Linked DNA regions of Arabidopsis thaliana. The protein of the gene in region 3 interacts with the protein of the main gene of each other region in a pairwise test. Each region holds a gene or a part of one and is shown on either strand. Other genes may lie near its edges.

Evidence for each region.
Region 1: the proteins of AT5G49990 (region 3) and AT5G10820 interact in a protein complementation assay, tested with the Arabidopsis thaliana proteins (one large-scale study listed by BioGRID).
Region 2: the proteins of AT5G49990 (region 3) and CIPK25 interact in a protein complementation assay, tested with the Arabidopsis thaliana proteins (one large-scale study listed by BioGRID).

What each region holds. Positions count from the first base shown.
Region 1 is NC_003076.8:3,419,790-3,425,516, reverse strand, and holds AT5G10820 (Major facilitator superfamily protein), read left to right. Parts: upstream 1-2,217; 5' UTR 2,218-2,350; coding exon 2,351-3,010; intron 3,011-3,117; coding exon 3,118-3,222; intron 3,223-3,425; coding exon 3,426-3,596; intron 3,597-4,065; coding exon 4,066-4,641; 3' UTR 4,642-4,817; downstream 4,818-5,727. Other genes in the region: EMP1 (Endomembrane protein 70 protein family), read left to right, coding at 1-607; AT5G10830 (S-adenosyl-L-methionine-dependent methyltransferases superfamily protein), read right to left, coding at 868-1,503, 1,637-1,786; ER (enhancer of rudimentary protein), read left to right, coding at 4,961-4,963, 5,217-5,322. UniProt on the Arabidopsis thaliana protein: Could mediate folate transport.
Region 2 is NC_003076.8:8,656,694-8,661,338, forward strand, and holds CIPK25 (CBL-interacting protein kinase 25), read right to left. Parts: upstream 2,660-4,645; 5' UTR 2,514-2,659; coding exon 1,047-2,513; 3' UTR 911-1,046; downstream 1-910.
Region 3 is NC_003076.8:20,336,507-20,343,907, forward strand, and holds AT5G49990 (Xanthine/uracil permease family protein), read right to left. Parts: upstream 5,530-7,401; 5' UTR 5,261-5,529; exon of another isoform or gene 5,241-5,260; intron 5,201-5,240; exon of another isoform or gene 4,692-5,200; 5' UTR 4,682-4,691; coding exon 4,585-4,681; intron 4,156-4,584; coding exon 4,058-4,155; intron 3,971-4,057; coding exon 3,794-3,970; intron 3,668-3,793; coding exon 3,567-3,667; intron 3,483-3,566; coding exon 3,407-3,482; intron 3,321-3,406; coding exon 3,261-3,320; intron 3,117-3,260; coding exon 2,932-3,116; intron 2,802-2,931; coding exon 2,705-2,801; intron 2,464-2,704; coding exon 2,377-2,463; intron 2,262-2,376; coding exon 2,203-2,261; intron 2,120-2,202; coding exon 2,028-2,119; intron 1,946-2,027; coding exon 1,868-1,945; intron 1,738-1,867; coding exon 1,358-1,737; 3' UTR 1,080-1,357; downstream 1-1,079. Other genes in the region: AFB5 (auxin F-box protein 5), read right to left, coding at 1-25; AT5G50000 (Protein kinase superfamily protein), read right to left, coding at 6,332-6,538, 6,736-6,870, 6,944-7,118, 7,198-7,394.

The sequences.
Region 1 (5,727 bases), about 17 Mb from region 3:
TGGGGCTGTCCCCTTTGGAACAATGTTCGCCTTGATCTTCCTCTGGTTTGGCATCTCAGTTCCTCTCGTCTTTGTTGGGGGTTACATTGGGTTCAAGAAGCCAGCGGCTGATGACCCAGTGAAAACCAACAAAATCCCGAGGCAAATCCCAGAGCAAGCTTGGTACATGAACCCGGTTTTCTCAATCCTCATTGGAGGAATCTTACCGTTTGGTGCAGTCTTCATCGAGCTCTTCTTCATCCTCACATCCATCTGGCTCAACCAGTTCTACTACATCTTTGGGTTCCTCTTCCTCGTCTTTGTAATCCTCATTGTGACTTGCGCCGAGATAACCGTAGTACTCTGCTACTTCCAGCTTTGCAGTGAGGACTACCTTTGGTGGTGGAGATCATACCTCACATCAGGCTCATCAGCTCTCTACCTCTTCCTCTATGCCACGTTCTACTTCTTCACAAAGCTTCAGATCACCAAACTGGTCTCTGCGATGCTTTACTTTGGGTACATGCTCATCGCCTCCTACGCATTTTTTGTGCTCACAGGAACAATAGGGTTCTATGCTTGTCTCTGGTTCACAAGGCTCATCTATTCCTCTGTTAAGATCGATTAGAGGATATGATGATCATCATGGCGATTAAGGAAACAAAGAAGAAAAGGTGATCATAGTTTATCTTATTTTTCTTTTTAAAATCGGTTTTGTTGCATTTTAGGTTCTATTTTGTTGCATACCAAAAGAGATTTTAATATATGTAATAGAGTGTATTTTGTTTGATTTGTCAAATAACAACACTTTCTGAGAATTTTTGCAATATAACCAATTTTTATAAATAAACTCAAATGAGAACAACAATCAATCATGGTTTGGTGATATCAAACTCTAACTTTTCCTGCAATCATAAAAGCTTTGTAAACGACGGAACGAACCAGATCAGAACCTCCCCAAGCGGTTTCAAGCTCTCTCACCAAACTCTCCGGTAACAACTCGACGCCTTTCTCTCTCGCCGTGACGATGGCCGACCATGATTTAAACATCCTTATGATCCCTTCAAACGACGTCGTTTTAGGCATCTCCAGCTTTAATGGCTCCCCTTCTGATCCCATCCCAACATTTTCGAAAGGAAACGGCAATGCTTCGTACGAATCGAAGATGTGCTGAATGTACGGATACTTCCAAAACGGCAGCGTTGTGGCGTGGAGCCGATACTGGACGGCGTCGAACTCTGGACTCACTATGACGTCGTTGTATCCCCAGACAGCGATGATTCCGCCTGGTTTACGGAGGAGTCGTGTGGCCACTGAGTAGAACCTAGGGAGATCGAACCAGTGTACGCCTTGGGCGACCGTGATTAGATCCACTGAGTTTTCTCCTCCGATTAATTCCACTAGCTCGTCGTCGGTCATTGACGTCGGCGTATGGCGATAATTGATTTTCGGATGTGGCGTTGCTAGCTTCAGCTGCGATTCACTCACGTCCGTTGCTACGACACTCTCGTAATGCTCTGCAACCTGCAAAATGGAGGCGAAATTTGTCAAATCCAAGATCTGATGCATGTTGTTGTGATCATTTACGAGCAAGAAGCTAAATCTGTTAAATCTAAGTTTGAAGCTCTATAAAAATTTATGAGCATCAAATACTGACGGCGAGAGCTGCTTGGCCATTTCCGGTGGCAGCATCCCAGGCTAAACCGTGGTGATCGGTGAGATCAGCGAGCTTCGAGAACCACTCAGAGGGGTAATTAGGTCTGGCGTCAAGGTATAGATCGGCTTGTTTATCAAACAATCCTGCCATTTTCTCTCTGTTTTGCTTCTTCTTTTCTTTCTCTCTTTTTTCTGATTAGTGTCTAGCCATGACTCTCTAGTCATATATAGTAGTCTTTTTAGCTTGTGGGAATCTCAAAGATAATGACCTCCAACGAAGCAGCATATCGCTTTCCTTCTCTATTTTTTAATTGGATTTTGAAGTAATTGTTTAGGTGTTTGTTGATGTTGATTAGGATTTTTGAGTTTCGGTGGGAAGATGAAACATTTGACTTTCTCTTTTTGCTTTCAAGATCTGTCAATCATACTATCGAGTTTGTGAATTTTGGCTAATAAAGCGATTTGGTTTCGTTTTTGTAGAATTTCAGACTGGTAGTTGAAGAAAGACGTCATTGCTTACAAAGTCAACAAGGTAAATGTCATTGTCAAGTGGGAAACTTTATAATATATCTTTTGTTTTTCCTCGTGTGTGAATGTCTAAACCTTTTTGAAAGTCTAAAAGGCATTTCCTTTACATTGAAAATAACGATTAAAGGCTCTTGCTCTCGATATTTTGATTTCAGATCCAATGTTCATCTCCTAAACAGTCAACACCATGGAAACACTAGAAACTGAGAAATTCTTCTCAGACGATAAACCTCTCCTAAAACCAATTTCAGATCATTCTGAGATCAAGACAAAAGCAAGAAGAAACGCTGTCGTCTCAGTTCTAATTCAGCCCTTCCAATGGTTACAAATGCTGAGTTCTAGGCTAAACCTGAGCTTCGTGCTAGGTGTGGTCCTTGTGTACGGTGTAAACCAAGGGTTCTCTGGTTCGATATTCAAAGTCGTCACAGACTATTACTGGAAAGATGTCCAGCAAGTGCAGCCATCGGTTGTGCAGCTTTACATGGGGTTATATTACATTCCATGGGTCATGAGACCCATTTGGGGTCTCTTCACCGATGTGTTCCCTATCAAAGGTTACAAAAGAAAGCCGTATTTTGTAGTTTCTGGTGTTCTTGGTTTGGTATCTGCGATTGCTATTGTTGTTCTTGGTAAGTTGCCCGCTGCTTTGGCTTTGAGCTGCCTCTTAGGTGTCTCTGCAGCTATGGCCATTGCAGATGTGGTGATTGATGCGTGTATAGCAACAAACAGCATCAATATCCGATCTTTGGCTCCTGATATACAGAGCCTTTGTATGGTTTGTTCATCTGCTGGCGCTTTGGTTGGATACGCAACTAGTGGAGTCTTCGTTCACCAGCTTGGACCTCAGGTTGAGCCTTTACACCTTTTTAGTCACGTTTTCAGGACGTGTTCCCTTTAGATATCGAGATTAGAAACTTGAAATCTCGTTTTTCTGTTTTGTTTTTTCTGATATAGGGAGCATTAGGGGTATTAGCATTTTCGCCTGCAACTATCGTCATACTTGGGTTTTTCATCTACGAGAAAAGATCTTCTACTGTTCCTACACAAAAGACCAAAAAGGTGAGGCCTTAGCCTGTAATCTCAACTCCTTTGATCTCTCTCACAAGTGACCAGAATTGGCGTCGCAGCAGAATAATCCAAACAGAAATTTTCCTTGTCTTTATTTGTTTCTGCCGGATTATTGAAAATTCATGCCTCTTGACTTTATCTCATGACTTGGAATCTTGATCGAACTCTTGAGCAATCGTTTGAATTTTCTTCAGGACACAGATGGCTTAGGAGTAGCGGTGAAGGGAATGTGCAAAACAGTAAAGTACCCTGAAGTGTGGAAGCCATCTCTTTACATGTTCATATCCTTAGCTCTCAACATCAGCACTCATGAAGGCCACTTCTACTGGTACACTGATCCTACAGCTGGGCCCGCCTTTTCCCAGGTTGGTTGTACAATCCTGAAGAAGCTCTTTTTAAAGATCTTGATTTAAAGAATAAAGATAGTGGTTAAACAGTTTGGGTCTTATATAGATTGAGTTCATAGGAACCAGTATAGTTACTAAACGACATGGGAAGCTAGCAAAAACAGGTTCCCATGGATCGCAAGCTCAAGATTGACACTGTGGTAGTATGTCATGATATTATGTGAATCATATTTCAGACTGTTTCGCTGGTTTATATTAATCTCCATGGAGTCACTTCTCTTGAAAGCCTATTTTAGCTAGGAAAAATCTTGTCTTTAGGTTTGTGAATATCTGCATGCCTTATGAAATGGTGTTGAAATTATGATTGTGTGGTAGTGTCACATTGACATATAAAGCTATGGAGTTTCTGAACAAGCTAATAAAATTCTTTATCCAATAATGTAATTATGAGCTAGATTCAAACTTGCTTATTTTGGTCTAAATGCAGGAGTTTGTGGGAATAATCTATGCAGTCGGGGCATTGGCATCTATGTTTGGAGTTCTCATATATCACAAGAAGCTCAAAGGCTATTCCTTTAGGAACATACTCTTCTTTGCACAACTTCTATACGTCTTCTCAGGAATGCTTGATCTAGTCTTCATCAAACGCTGGAACTTAACTCTCGGGATACCAGATTCCTTGTTTGTGATAACCGAAGAATCTTTCACGAAGATGATAAGTAAGATCAGGTGGATCCCCATGGTGGTTCTCAGTACAAGGCTTTGTCCTCTGGGAATCGAAGGCACCTTCTTTGCTTTCCTCATGTGCATTGATAGTTTTGGACAGCTTGCTTCTAAATGGGGTGGAGGGTTTGTTCTTCACGCTTTTGGTGTCACGAGACACGATTTCGGAAATCTCTGGCTCGTGATTCTGATAAGGAATATTTTGAGACTCGTCACTGTGTGTTTCGTTTTCCTCGTTCCAGATTCCGATCATTTGGATGATCTTGTACCTTCTGATGTGTTGCCAAAGAAACAATCAGAAGATGATGATGATGACGACATTAAACTTTTGCTTCTGTAAAGCTATTTTGTATAACATGAAACATTTCGAACAGTAAATGCCTAACATGAACAATTTCAAAGAAACAAAATCTACTAATCAGATGGAAACAGCTTGTAGTTTTTTCATATTTTAAAGGAAATACATGCCGTTTTGTCGTACTATATCTGATGTCACATGTTAAGCGACAGAGACCCTATGTTATTTTACGATTTTGCCCTCTTGTTGGGTTATACAGTATTCGTTTTTCTCTCTCAAACAGTGAAACTTCTTCTTCTTCTTCTCGTCTTCGTCGTCTAAACCTCAAACTCTGCTAGCGAAGTCACAATATCACTCGAAGATGGTAATCGATTTCTTCTCCTAACGTTCCTTTTGTGTAGTTTTAGTGATTCCTTAGTCAATCGCGAAGAAATTTGAGCAAATCCTTTTGGTTAGATCGTGTTAGGTTTTCGAATATCGTTCCTTACGCAGTTTGAATCTCAGTTTCTGATGATTTCTCGTTAGTTTACGGAACATAGAGAAGGAAATTCAAACTTGTTTTGATTGTCTCAGTTCTTATAAGCTGACTATTATCAACTTTCTTCTTTGTTGTGTAGGCTAATCACAACAGTAGTAGGCACACAATCATCTTGTTGCAGAATTCTCCGAGCAGAGCTACGAGGACTTTCATGGACTATGACTCTATAGGCCAAGCTATGGATGGTAATTATTAATTTCGAATCATCATTCTCTAACTAGTCTACTCATTGTTGACTTTGGTTATGATTATGTTGAGGTTTATCTTTGTGGCAACAAGATGGATGATTTTGAATTACGACATGTATATTATATAATTCTGTAGCTATTTCTGTGACTTATTAGGAAGTTCAGATTTTAGTACCAGTGCTATAAGCTGATTGATATATAGTGTGTGATGAGTCTGCTCGGTAATAAAGTGGTAATAAAGTGGTTTGTATTTTGATTACTAACTTGTTTGCTCAATAAAGTGGAGGAATTAGCAATGTAGAAGAAATGTAGGTTTCTTAAGTTCATTACCTCTCTTCCGAGTGTTTAAGTGAATTAAGGAAGCTGTTTTTTTGTTTTTGGTTTTGTAGAAGCAATAAGTTT
Region 2 (4,645 bases), about 12 Mb from region 3:
TGTCCGTTACTTTTTCTTTTATCACGCAAGCAACGTTACCGTGTCCACTTGTCAAACAGTTATATGTCACTAATCTCTTGCTAAACCTGACAAATTATCTTCCAAGATAGTTTATTTGCGACCATCCTATATTAATAATTTCTTAAGAGAAAATTTGTTTCTAAGTAGTTCTTGTTATTAACGTTAATACATGTTCCAATTCCTAGAGAGATAATTGGTATATTCGGAAGATAGAAGAGATAGTGTAAGGTTTTGTACTGTTTATTTATACGTGGACTGTGGTATGGATGTGAGATATGAGTACAAAGATGACAATTTTCATTAGCGAATATCTATTAGCAAACTTCTATTACTCCATTATTTCTACTAGATGTGATAAAATGGTATTTATAGAAAATATCTTATCCTAATTTGTAGATATACTTGTTGGATAATTGGTTTGGATCGTCCGTAAAACTATAGACGATCCATTATATTACTTTTTAGGCGGATATAATATAAAATTAACAATTTTTGTTCTAGTGAAATAGTCCATGTAACCCGGTATAGTTGTCGAAAAAAGAATGGTTGGCATCGAAATATGTTTTTAAGCGATTATAATTAATGGTTGATCAGCGAAACATAAAGTATCATCCTACATACTTGAGCATGTTTAGTAAAAGGGATGATGGCTCCAGGGCTCCCGGAACTAAAACACCTACAATACTCATGTAAAAAGTGATTAACATCTTTTAAAACTTTTTCGAATACGACATAATACACTGATCTCATAAACCGTTTTTATCAGTTCGATCCAAGAATCTACCGTTTTCCTAACATCAACGAGATATGGCCATAAGTCGGATTCTAACAAATTCATCATCATGGCGCATAAGGCGAAACTATATCTACTTTTAGTAAATAATCTAAATGATTAAAATAAGTTGCTCAAAGAGAATAAAATAAACCTCAACTTCTATATACACAATATACAAAAACTTCCTTGAATCTAACAACTGATTAACAAAAATACACAGTTTAATTTACATAACTATCATTACATTCTCTTAGCAGTCACTACCAGAATTTTCATCACTAACATAATTACCATTACTCTTAACAATATTATTATTATGATTATCACCGTGCCACGACCACACTATCTCCTCCAACGCTGGCCGGACATGTTCTTCATACAACCTATTATACTCCAAAGTATCTCCCGCCGACTTACACAACTCAACGACGGCGACTTCCGGCGCAACCTCGAAAACCTCAGCAGTCACCGCGATCTGTCCTTTCCTCCCTTCCGTTTTCCCAAACAACTTCACCTTAAAGTCTTTAGTCCTCTTCACCTTCATATTCATCTCTTTCCCTATCCCTTCAAGCTTCCCCATTATCTCCGACGCCGACCACCGTGACGTAAACATAGATCTCAGCTTCCTCTTACTCTCGAACAAACTTGATAGATCAAATCCTGATGACATAGAAGAGATGAATTCAAACGCGTTAAAGAACTTCGGCGAGACCGGTGTTGTTGTTGTTGTTGCTGTTGTTGCTGTTGTTGTTGGTGTTTCGTCTTCTACGTTTTGGATCTCGAGCTCATCGATCTTGAACTCGATCGGAGAGTTGATGTTTTTACGAAACCACGGTGTTCGCATAATCGCCGGTATCGAGATCCGTTTGTTAGGATCAACAACTAAAAGCTTTGAAATCAACCTCTTGGACTCCGGTGAAAACCACGGCGGATACTCAAACTCCGATTTGAAGATCTTCCGATACATTTTCATTAGGTTCTCATCTTGAAACGGTAAGAATCCAGCGAGAAGCACGTACAAGATAATACCACACGACCAAATATCACCTTTAGCTCCGTCGTAACCTTTCTTCCTCAAAACCTCCGGTGCAACATACGCCGGAGTTCCACACTGAGTATGAAGCAAACCGTCTTGTAAAATCTGTTCCGGTAAAGCAGAGAGACCAAAATCTGAAACCTTAAGATCTCCGTTCTCGTCAACTAAGAGATTCTCCGGTTTTAGATCTCGGTGAGAAACGCCTCTACTATGACAAAAATCAACGGCTGAGATTAATTGTTGGAAATACTTACGAGCAGAGTCTTCTTTAAGCTTTCCTTTAACGATCTTGGAGAAAAGTTCACCGCCTTTAACGTATTCCATGATAAAGAAGATCTTTGTTTTTGTAGCCATGACTTCTTTTAACTCAACGATGTTTGGATGACGAACAAGTCTCATGATTGAGATCTCTCGTTTGATTTGTTCCATCATACCTTCACGTTTGACTTGATCTTTGTTGATGATTTTGATTGCAACGCTTTCTCCGGTTGTTATCTCTTTGCCGTAATAAACTTTTCCGAATGTTCCTTTGCCTAGTAACCTTCCCATCTCGTATTTCGCGAAGAGAACACGAAGTTGTTGTTGCTCTTCCTCCATTGTAGGGGCCGATTGGTAACGACTGTCTGGGTGAAAAACGGATGAGTGATTTAAGAGAGGGTAAAGTTTAAGTTTGGATCCCATGTGTATATACAGAAGTAGAATGAGTCCATATTCAGTATATGGAATATGAGATAGATTGGTGATGAATGATGAAGAAGAAGGTGGTTTAGTTTTATAAGAAATGAAGCAAAGGACTTGAGAGGGGATGTATGAGGCGGCCACTTGTAAATATATTATGTGGGTTAATTAAGAGATACTTAAGAAGAAAGAGACTCTTATTATCAATGCTGCGGTTTTAGAGATGCAAGTTTTTATACTATGGGTTATTTTTCTCTCTATACAATATGTATTTACATAAGTCTTTTTTAAATAGTAAATATACTTATTATATTAACATATATTTAATGTCCCTCTTTCCGTTACACTTTTCAGCATTGAATTTTTAAGTTTATAGTATTAAATAAAAATTAATGTAAATAACCAAACTATTTTATATAGAAATGTTAATAATAATTGTAACTTACCATTTATTGGTGTAAGGAAATTTGTTACCGTCCAATAATAATGGCAGGCTAATGTGGGTGGGCAAATGATGCAATCCTCTAGAGCCTACCTTAATTTTGATTAATTTTTGATTTAAGAAAATATCATTTTTAATAAGAGTTGTATAGATTTAATGAAACAAATATGTTATTAAGGGTCCAAGTTTTTAATTCATTTGTAATAATAGTCCAAAGATTTTGGTGAAAGAGATTAGTGTTGTTGACTGAAATATCGAATATAAATAAGTGATGATGACGCAATGGTAGTATTTGTTTGTAGCTATCGTTGGAGAAGATATTTCTAGCGGAATTTTTGTCATTAGCTCCAAGTATCAAAAAAGAAAATACTAATGACACAAATAGTGAGTATACTTATACATGCATCTATATATTAAAGTTTTTATGTCGACGAGAAAGGACACGATGTGGAAGTCAATTTCGTCATGTTGTTTTGGATCTTTGTTTTTTGAGGCTAAACTATAGCTAATTAATACTAAACACGATTACTGTATATACACGTAGAAATCCTTAAATGTTGAGCTGGTTTATTTATTTCACTAATATCATTTTGTTAAACGTACAATTTTTATTCCAATCGAGTAAGCTTTTTCCTTTAAGTTGTTTGGAATTTTGTTTGACATGAAATCAGTAAAAAAATAATCAAAGTATTTGGTATTTATACAAAGGCCTAGTAACAATATAAACAACTTACAAAATCAAATCTATTTATAGAACGATCTTAAAATATCAAGATACTAAAACTTTGGGAAAAATACAAAACAATTACAAACTTTAAGCTTAGGAAGGTTGTTAAATAAAAGAATTTGTTAGAGTTTCTAAATAATTTAACTATTTAAGGGTCTATTGGATTAAGGATTTTGATTATTTTGGTGGATTTTAAAATTAGTGGGCTTTTAATAAATATCAAATATATTCTAATGATTATAAAAAGGCTTGAGATTCAGTGGGCTCTTATGATTTTTTTAAAATGCTGCTAAGGAGAATTTTCGTATCAAAAGTTAGATACCTCTAGGCCCATAGTTTTGACGAAGACAACAACTGTGAAAGAAAAGTGTTACCTCCAAAATTGTTCTACTACCTCACAGAACATAATGTGTAAGATTAACGTCAATGATTTTTTTTATTTTTTTGTCATCTACGTCAATAATTTGTTAATAAGAGATTAGAGATCCAACTACTAGGATATAAAATTTTAAATAGTAAATGCAATAATAATAGTAGAAAGATCGAACAAGAGATCAAAGTGAGAATCAGAGCTTAACCGGAGATTAAGAGAGACATGAGAACAACGAATGGTCAAGATGAATAATGGAGACTACCATGAAGAGATCAATACGATAGAATCCGACGATAACGAGGCATGAATGAGGCTTTTTTTTTGTTTTTTTACGTTGATGTTGTATATATGGGAGATTTCATATTTTTAATTTGTTTGAAGTCACTCCAAATTTCATGTTTAACAAAAAATAGTAATAATATATGAAGTTTCATAAAATCCTTTTTCATTAGATTTTTCCCCCAAATTGCTATATTCCTATTAGCATCACATTTTCTATGAATTTTCATATAATTAATCGTATAACGAGATATTTCAAATTATTTTTCAAAAGTTTCAAGTTCACTAATTACACATTTGAGAAGATATTATTG
Region 3 (7,401 bases):
ACATTTCTGAGCGATCTTGTGTCATAAAGAGAGAGGCTTTGGATTCAGATTAGAGAAGAGGAAGAGGAAGAAGAGGAAGAAGAAGAAGAAGCTTTGGGGTGTGAGAGAGTGGGAGCTTTCTCTCTCCACTTCGTCTCCATTATTTGGGGATTATTTTTTATTTTTAATTTTCTGTTTTGTCTTCTTATATTTATGTACAAAAATAATTAATATTCATGTTTTTTTTTTCTTACTAGAAAGTAAAATGTAACTCTTTTTTTCTGCTTTCTTGTCTCCATCAATGTTTTTACACTTTACAGTTTCGTCCTCTTTATTTTCTTCAGATCTCTATTTTAGCAATGTTTTAATTAGAAAACAATAAAATCAACATTATCCATTTCTATAGTGTAGGACACTTGCCTACCCTTTTTTCGAGATAAGTTGAGAATTTAACCATATTGGTTAGGGTAATTTTTTTTGTCTTAAACCAAATCACTAAGCATAGATAATATGAACAAATTGGTTGGGATCATTTCAAGTAACCTCCTACGAATTATATGTATAGACCCGCATAAATGATTTCGAACTAGTGCACTTTTTTGGATTCTAACATTTTTGATCCGTAGATTATTATTAAGTAACTCACAATAGTTTATAACTTCTTATACCTTAACCTAAGGTGGTAAGTGGTAACCGATTTAGCTAATGACGTCTTTAAATTTTATCAGTCAAAAATGTATTTATATATGTGCCACAAACAAGCACATATTATTCTACCAATCAAACAAAACAAATACAGTATAACACAACTAAATACAAAACCCATTCATCATTGAGGCTCTGTTTTTTGTGTGCAAATACTCATCGTTGTGGCTAACCATCTGTTTTAGACTTTTAGTTATCGTTAACTTCCTATCAACTAGTTATATGCAACCAAAGAAGTGTTTAAATGGACGACAGAGAATGAAGCACATGAACCCCTACTTATCTTCAAAAGTATATCATAAGAGTTTCAACGTCAAATCTAGCATTACAAATTTTTGTAGGAAATTTTTTTTGTTATAGAATTAGAATCGAAAAGCCTCCAAAACTCACAAAATTTTCTCTTTTAATCATTTGTATTAAAACAGAGCATACATACTCTAGTTCTAAATTTGGCAAAACGAGTATCATCTTTAATGCAAAACATCTAAACATAGAAGAAACATCACATTAATATTTCTAAAATGTTACTTAACACTTTGGGTTATAATATCTAGTTGCGTTTTATAGTCTCCTCACCGAATATGCACATAAAACCTAGCTAGATAAGGTGTGTCCTCCTAAGGGACACAAAACTAGCAAAACAGCATTCCATAAAGTTTGGAAGGATTTTTTTTCAGACAGAAGGGAAATATTTGTTGAGGTTGAACGGAAGAGCATAGAACTCTTCTGTTCTCGGGTCGTTCTTGAAAGTCCAGAATCTGTCCCACCAGTGTTTACCTCGGTCTTTCCTGATCGAACCATCTTTCTTGTGAAGCGTCGTGTCCAACAAGTAAGCCACACATCCTCCCACAAAGGCCTTGGACGAGAAGGGCACATTGACCATGTCGTTGAACCATCTTGCCCCGGTATGAACTGGACCATAGCCTTTGATGGCTGTGTGCTCGTTGAAATATTGTGGAATTGATAGGCCTAGGAAGATTGAGAAGCCCAGTATGAATAATGTCCTGAAGCTATTCAGGTTGCAGAATTGCAGCAAACTCAGTCCTCCAGCACCTATACAACAGTTTTTGTATTAAAGATGCTCATAGCTAAAACAAGTCTCTAGCTCTATATGTTGGTAAGCAAACCAATCTGAACCAAATTGCTTCAATCTAAACCAAGCTAAAAAAGAAACAATACTTACCTACATACGCAAAGAAGAGACAGTACAAGGCAGCTATGATAGGAGAAGGTATGGATGCAAATACTGCCCCGAACTTCCCTGCATTAGTTTTATTTAAGACGATTACTTAACGTAGTCCACTTCAATTCTTAATGAATTTTTGTGAGAGAGACAAGCTTACCAAGAATTGAGAAGAATATCATAAAGCCTGCAGATATTTGAACAACTCTCCTGCTACCAATTTTTGTTAGTGCCAGCAGACCCGCATTCTCGCTGCATTCATGTGAAAACAAACTCACCACACCATTCAAAATCAGCTCATGTCCTAGATTTGGGAAAAGGATAGGAGGTCTTACACAGAAACTGAAGACCCTATACCAGTTCCGAACAACCCTGAGATTAAAATTGCAACTCCCTAAACCAGAAGAGAACATAGTTGAGGCACAACGTTAGATAAATGGCCACTTGCTTGCCCCGAGAAAACCTCGAGATGGTATTTGTAAAATGAAGCTTATGAAGTGAGTATTTACCTGCCAACCAACCCCGCGGCTGATAACAGAAGGTGGCGGCATTGTGGCACTAGCATATCTTGAGACGGCAATAAAAGCACCTGTGGACTGTTTTTTGTTGACAAACAAGTCAACATAATGAGTAAGCAAGATGAGATTAAACCAAAGAGCAAGAAAATTCGAAAGAATGAAGAGAGAGTCTCATTGACTTTAAAAGTTAATGAGTATGCAACCTATGAAATTCATCTATTAAGGACAGCCTTTCTATATAAATGGATATGAAAATCTATGCATATCATAAATAATTGTCTAATGTCATTTAAAAAAGGTGAAGATGAGTGAAACAAACCTCAACAAGAGCAACAAAAGAAGCCATCATCATGGCAAATGCTTCACCAGCATCAAACAATGGTGCTCCCCATTGGAAAGGCCACGGAACTCTTATCCTGCACAATTAATAAGCGTAAAATGCTAAGCCACACTTGTATTCACTGACAGGTCATTAAAGAAAATACTTTTTTGCTAACATAACTCAGCGAGACATTCAATGTTCAAGCCTTGTTCTGAAATTCTTACCATGGAGCAGCACTTATAAGCCCAGCGCGATCAGTCCGACAGCTTCTTTGAGTATCTGTCCCAACACCATTATAGGCACCACCAAGTGTAAGAAAGAAAGCATAAAGCCATACTATCGCCACAGAAAATATGACAGCAAAGCGAGCAAACACATGTTTTCCTCCTTTTATAACATGGGGCATGTACTACAAAACCAGCAAAAAGTATGACCCAGATGATTAGAAACATCAACATACTGGAAGAACACATCCGGATCAATAACTTATGCAATGAGAACAGATGAGCCGGCTGCAAATTGCTACCAGTTATGAATCTTTACCTACAATTACCTGTGATATTAGTATGAGAATAATAAGCCCAGGCAGTCCAATCTCAATACACTTAGCAACCTGGCCAAAATAACAAAGAATCAAGATTCCACTAGGTTGATATAATTTAGTTTATCTGTTCCCATTTACAGAACAAAGAGACTTACACCGGGAAAACCTAACTCGTACAGGCCATAACCAACTAATCCAACCAAAGGAGCAGCAGATAGTGGACTTAAGAACCTGGACGAACAGAAGTTCAATATCATATTCTTTAACCTGACACAGTGGAACAAGATTTGAGTCTAATGTAGCTCAAAGACTGACCTTACAACATTACGCCAAAGGCCACTGAAGCCAAGGATAATTTGAAGAGTTGAAGCAACAATAAGAGCACCTTGGGTTGCCCGAATTATCCTCTTAAATCGCTGATAAGGTATCAAAAAGGTAATTTAGAGTAAAACTTCATATTCAAGCATAACTTTATTGATAGTGATAGTACACTAAATAGATAATAACACAATTCAATTAGGGGATAAGTGTGAGCTACGAACCTCAACTGGATCTGCAACGTCATTGAATCTCCCAGAAAGCATGATTGAGATAGTAACCGGGACAAATGTATAAGATGCTCCAATAACAGCAGGTAATCTAGTTCCAAACACAGTTTGGAGCAGTGTGTTCAATCCAGCTACAAACAATATTGTCTGGATCAGCTTTGCCTTCTCTTCCTGCCAAAATCATAAACTTTAAGTACAATGAAAGACTGAAAAGAATAATGTGAACAACTATCTTTCTAGAAAAGAGACTTAACTTACATTTCTACCTCCCATTTGTGGAACAAGAGCCGATGGAATCAGAACTGTTGTTCCAAGCATCACAAGGTAGTGTTGAAACCCAAGCAGAACAGCCTCAGCTGTAAGACAAGAATAAACTCAGTCTCACATTTACTAATTAAGAAGCTTAAAACCTCATATTCAAACAAGAATTATTCAAAAACCAACTACCAAATTAGAAACATACAGTAACACTAAAAATAAAAGTTAGATTGAACATATAGCAAAACCAAGGGGTGGATTAAGTTTAATTTCCTTTGTTAGCAAAGAATGATCCTCAAAACACCTAGTAGGAGATTCTCAAGGTAAAAACGAATATTTCTTAAAGAGAAAAGTAAGAATCCAATCCTCACGTTGCAACAAAAAGCAAAAAGTAAATGATACCAAAATCAGAAAAAGTAAAAATGGAAGAAGCTAATCAATCACAAGGCTTCAAAACCAGGGATATGCCTAGAACAAAAGCTAGAAGTCAAACGTTAAGGGAAAAGGAAAAGAAGAGAGAAACTAACGCCATGGAGGAGGACTTGTAATGCAGTAAGAGATATCTGGAAGCTGTTCTTTCGGCGGATGTGGTAGTGGATCACCACCCGATTTCGGAGCTGACATTCTTCAACCTCTGCAACAAAAAAATAAAAATCAAAACTTTAAACCAAAAACTTCACATAACGAGAAAGTGACTGAAACCCAAATCACAGAAGAAGCAAAACTCACGAAATTTGAGCTCAAGAAGCAGAAAACAAGAAAAAGACCTCGTTTTGAGCTAACCCACAGTTGCAAAAACAATAAAAACCAAAACTCTACACCAAAAACTTCACTAACCCGAAAAGTGACTGAAACCCAAATCACAGAAGAATCAAAAGCTACGAAATTTGAGCTCAATAAGTAGAAAACATAAAAACAGAGGTAAAGACCTCGTTTTGAGCTAAACCCACAGTTGTAACTTTACACCAAAAAAACTTCAATAAACCGCAAAGTTACTGAAACCCAAATCACGAAAGCAGCAAAAGTCACGAACTTTAAGCTCAAAAAGCTCGTAAATGAAGAAAGAAGGCGAAACAGAACAAAAACCCAACAAAAAGACCTCGTTTTTAAAGCTAAAATCAAGAGCAGAGTTTTAAAAATGATTCTGTTTAAGTAAGAAGAGCAGAGAGGAGAGATTATACACAGATTAGAAGAAATAGAAACCTTGTGAAGAAGCAGCAGCAGAAGAAAATTGGAGAGTAAACTAGAAGAAGAAGCAGTGAAGAGAAGAGGCTTGATGAGGAAGGAGCAGAGGGGACAGTTGTCTACGTTTCGCTATATCAGCGTTACTTTGTGCACCGATTGACGTCACCACGAAAACAACCTCTTACCTGTCATTACTCTTAATTCATTTGTCATTAGTAGTTCCCCAACGCTTTTTTCTTATTACTAAATTTTTGACAATGAAGACAATACTTATTTATTTGTTTGGTAATGAATGAATGATATAGATATAGTTTCATTGTGGTGTCGCCAACTGCTATTATTATTTATAATCAGTGTTCTTAAACACACTATACAATTTGGCACTAAACACTAGACTTCTAAGAAACATTATTAGCACAAGCTTCTAGTCTCAATAATACGTTATTGTTAACTTGTGTTATTGTTAATGAGGCGTTAGACCCATAGTTATACAAAGAGAGAAGATAACCTAAGGTTACAAAAAGACCATAATGGGGCAAAGAAATGTTGACTAAGCTAAGATTAGACCATAATGGGGCAAAGAAATGTGGACTAAGCTAAGATTAGTAGCTATTGACTAGATCTACTCTATTAAACCAAAAGACAATACTGAAGTAGCAATAATATCTTCAACAAAGTTGTTTCTCGACTATGCATTCCAACCTAATGGTCCTTCTATGGGAAGTGAGGTTTATCATAGCTGAACATTGGACTATATATATCAAATAGGATGTTCCTGTCGAGTGTAGTTGGTTAACCCATAAAGACAAAAAGAACAGTTGTACCATTGACTAGCTATATCAAATATATGATTAGAGATGATGATATACGTGACCATAAATATTTAATAAGCAACTCTCACAAATAGAGCAAAACAAGAAATGTTGAAGAATATGGAAACCAAATCATACTCTTTACGTAAATTTTAGCAACCATTAGATCCCTAACAAGCCTTCCCATTTTTTTTCCTTCTGGATTATAAAAAGAAAAAGAAAAGAAGCAAGGACACGAATCTTGAGTTTTGAATGATCTTAGATTGGTCTTTGGGAATTAAGGACCACGTTTCCTTCGGAAGCATAGGCAACCCTGTTGCTGGTCGTTAGGAATCATCCCTCCTCCCTTGGTTGTGTCAATACTCTCCAACATTGGTACAACCTCATCCATCTCCGGTCTCTTGTCCGGATTTGCATCCCAACATCGCTTCATCACAGCTGCAAGTGCGCTCGGGCAACACCTCGGTATATCGGGTCTCAGGTTCTGCATTGATCATATGTAGCAGCATATTGCATATAGATTTTTTACTTCAGTGAAATGATGAAATGGTTACACTACTCTAGATCACATTTTTTACTTCAGTGATTCCTCAAGATTTACAACAAAATATAATTGTGAAACAACCAATATGCACATTTCAATTAAATTAACTTTTCTTTGCTTAATCTATTCAACCATACCTGGCGGACGACGGCTGAAGTGACCTCAGAGAAAGTAAGGTCAGGGTATGGCATGTCACAGCAATATATCTCCCATAAGCAGATCCCGAAACTGTATACATCGCATTTTCGATTATACGGGTTTCCATTGAGAACCTGCAGCCAAAGTTTATTTGTTATAAAAAGTTGGTTTGTTACCAATCTTGATGATGCATTATCACTATAGTACCTCAGGCGCCATGTAGCCAAGTGTGCCAGTCTCTCCTGTCATGTCATTAGGGTTAGATGCTTCAACTCTCGCAACTCCAAAATCTGCGATTTTAACAGTCCGGGTTTTGTCTAACAACATATTCTCTGTCTTTACATCTCGGTGAACAATCTTCTGCGAATGAAGGTAACTCAACCTAAAAGCAACATAACAATAACCATTAGAGCAGATAAACGACTTGAGAAGGCAGCGAAAGAAGGGAGAATATAATGTACCCTCTAGCGAGATCAAGAGCGAGCTGAACAACAATTTTAAATGTTAGTTTTCTTCTTCTGTTCTTGATCAGGTAAGATTTTAAAGCACCACCTGGAAGATATTCAACAACAACACAACATATATTGTTTGGCATAGCTAATGGACCACTCTCTGTTTGCAACTGTAACCCTGATGCACCCATTGTTGCTCCTATAAACTGCAAA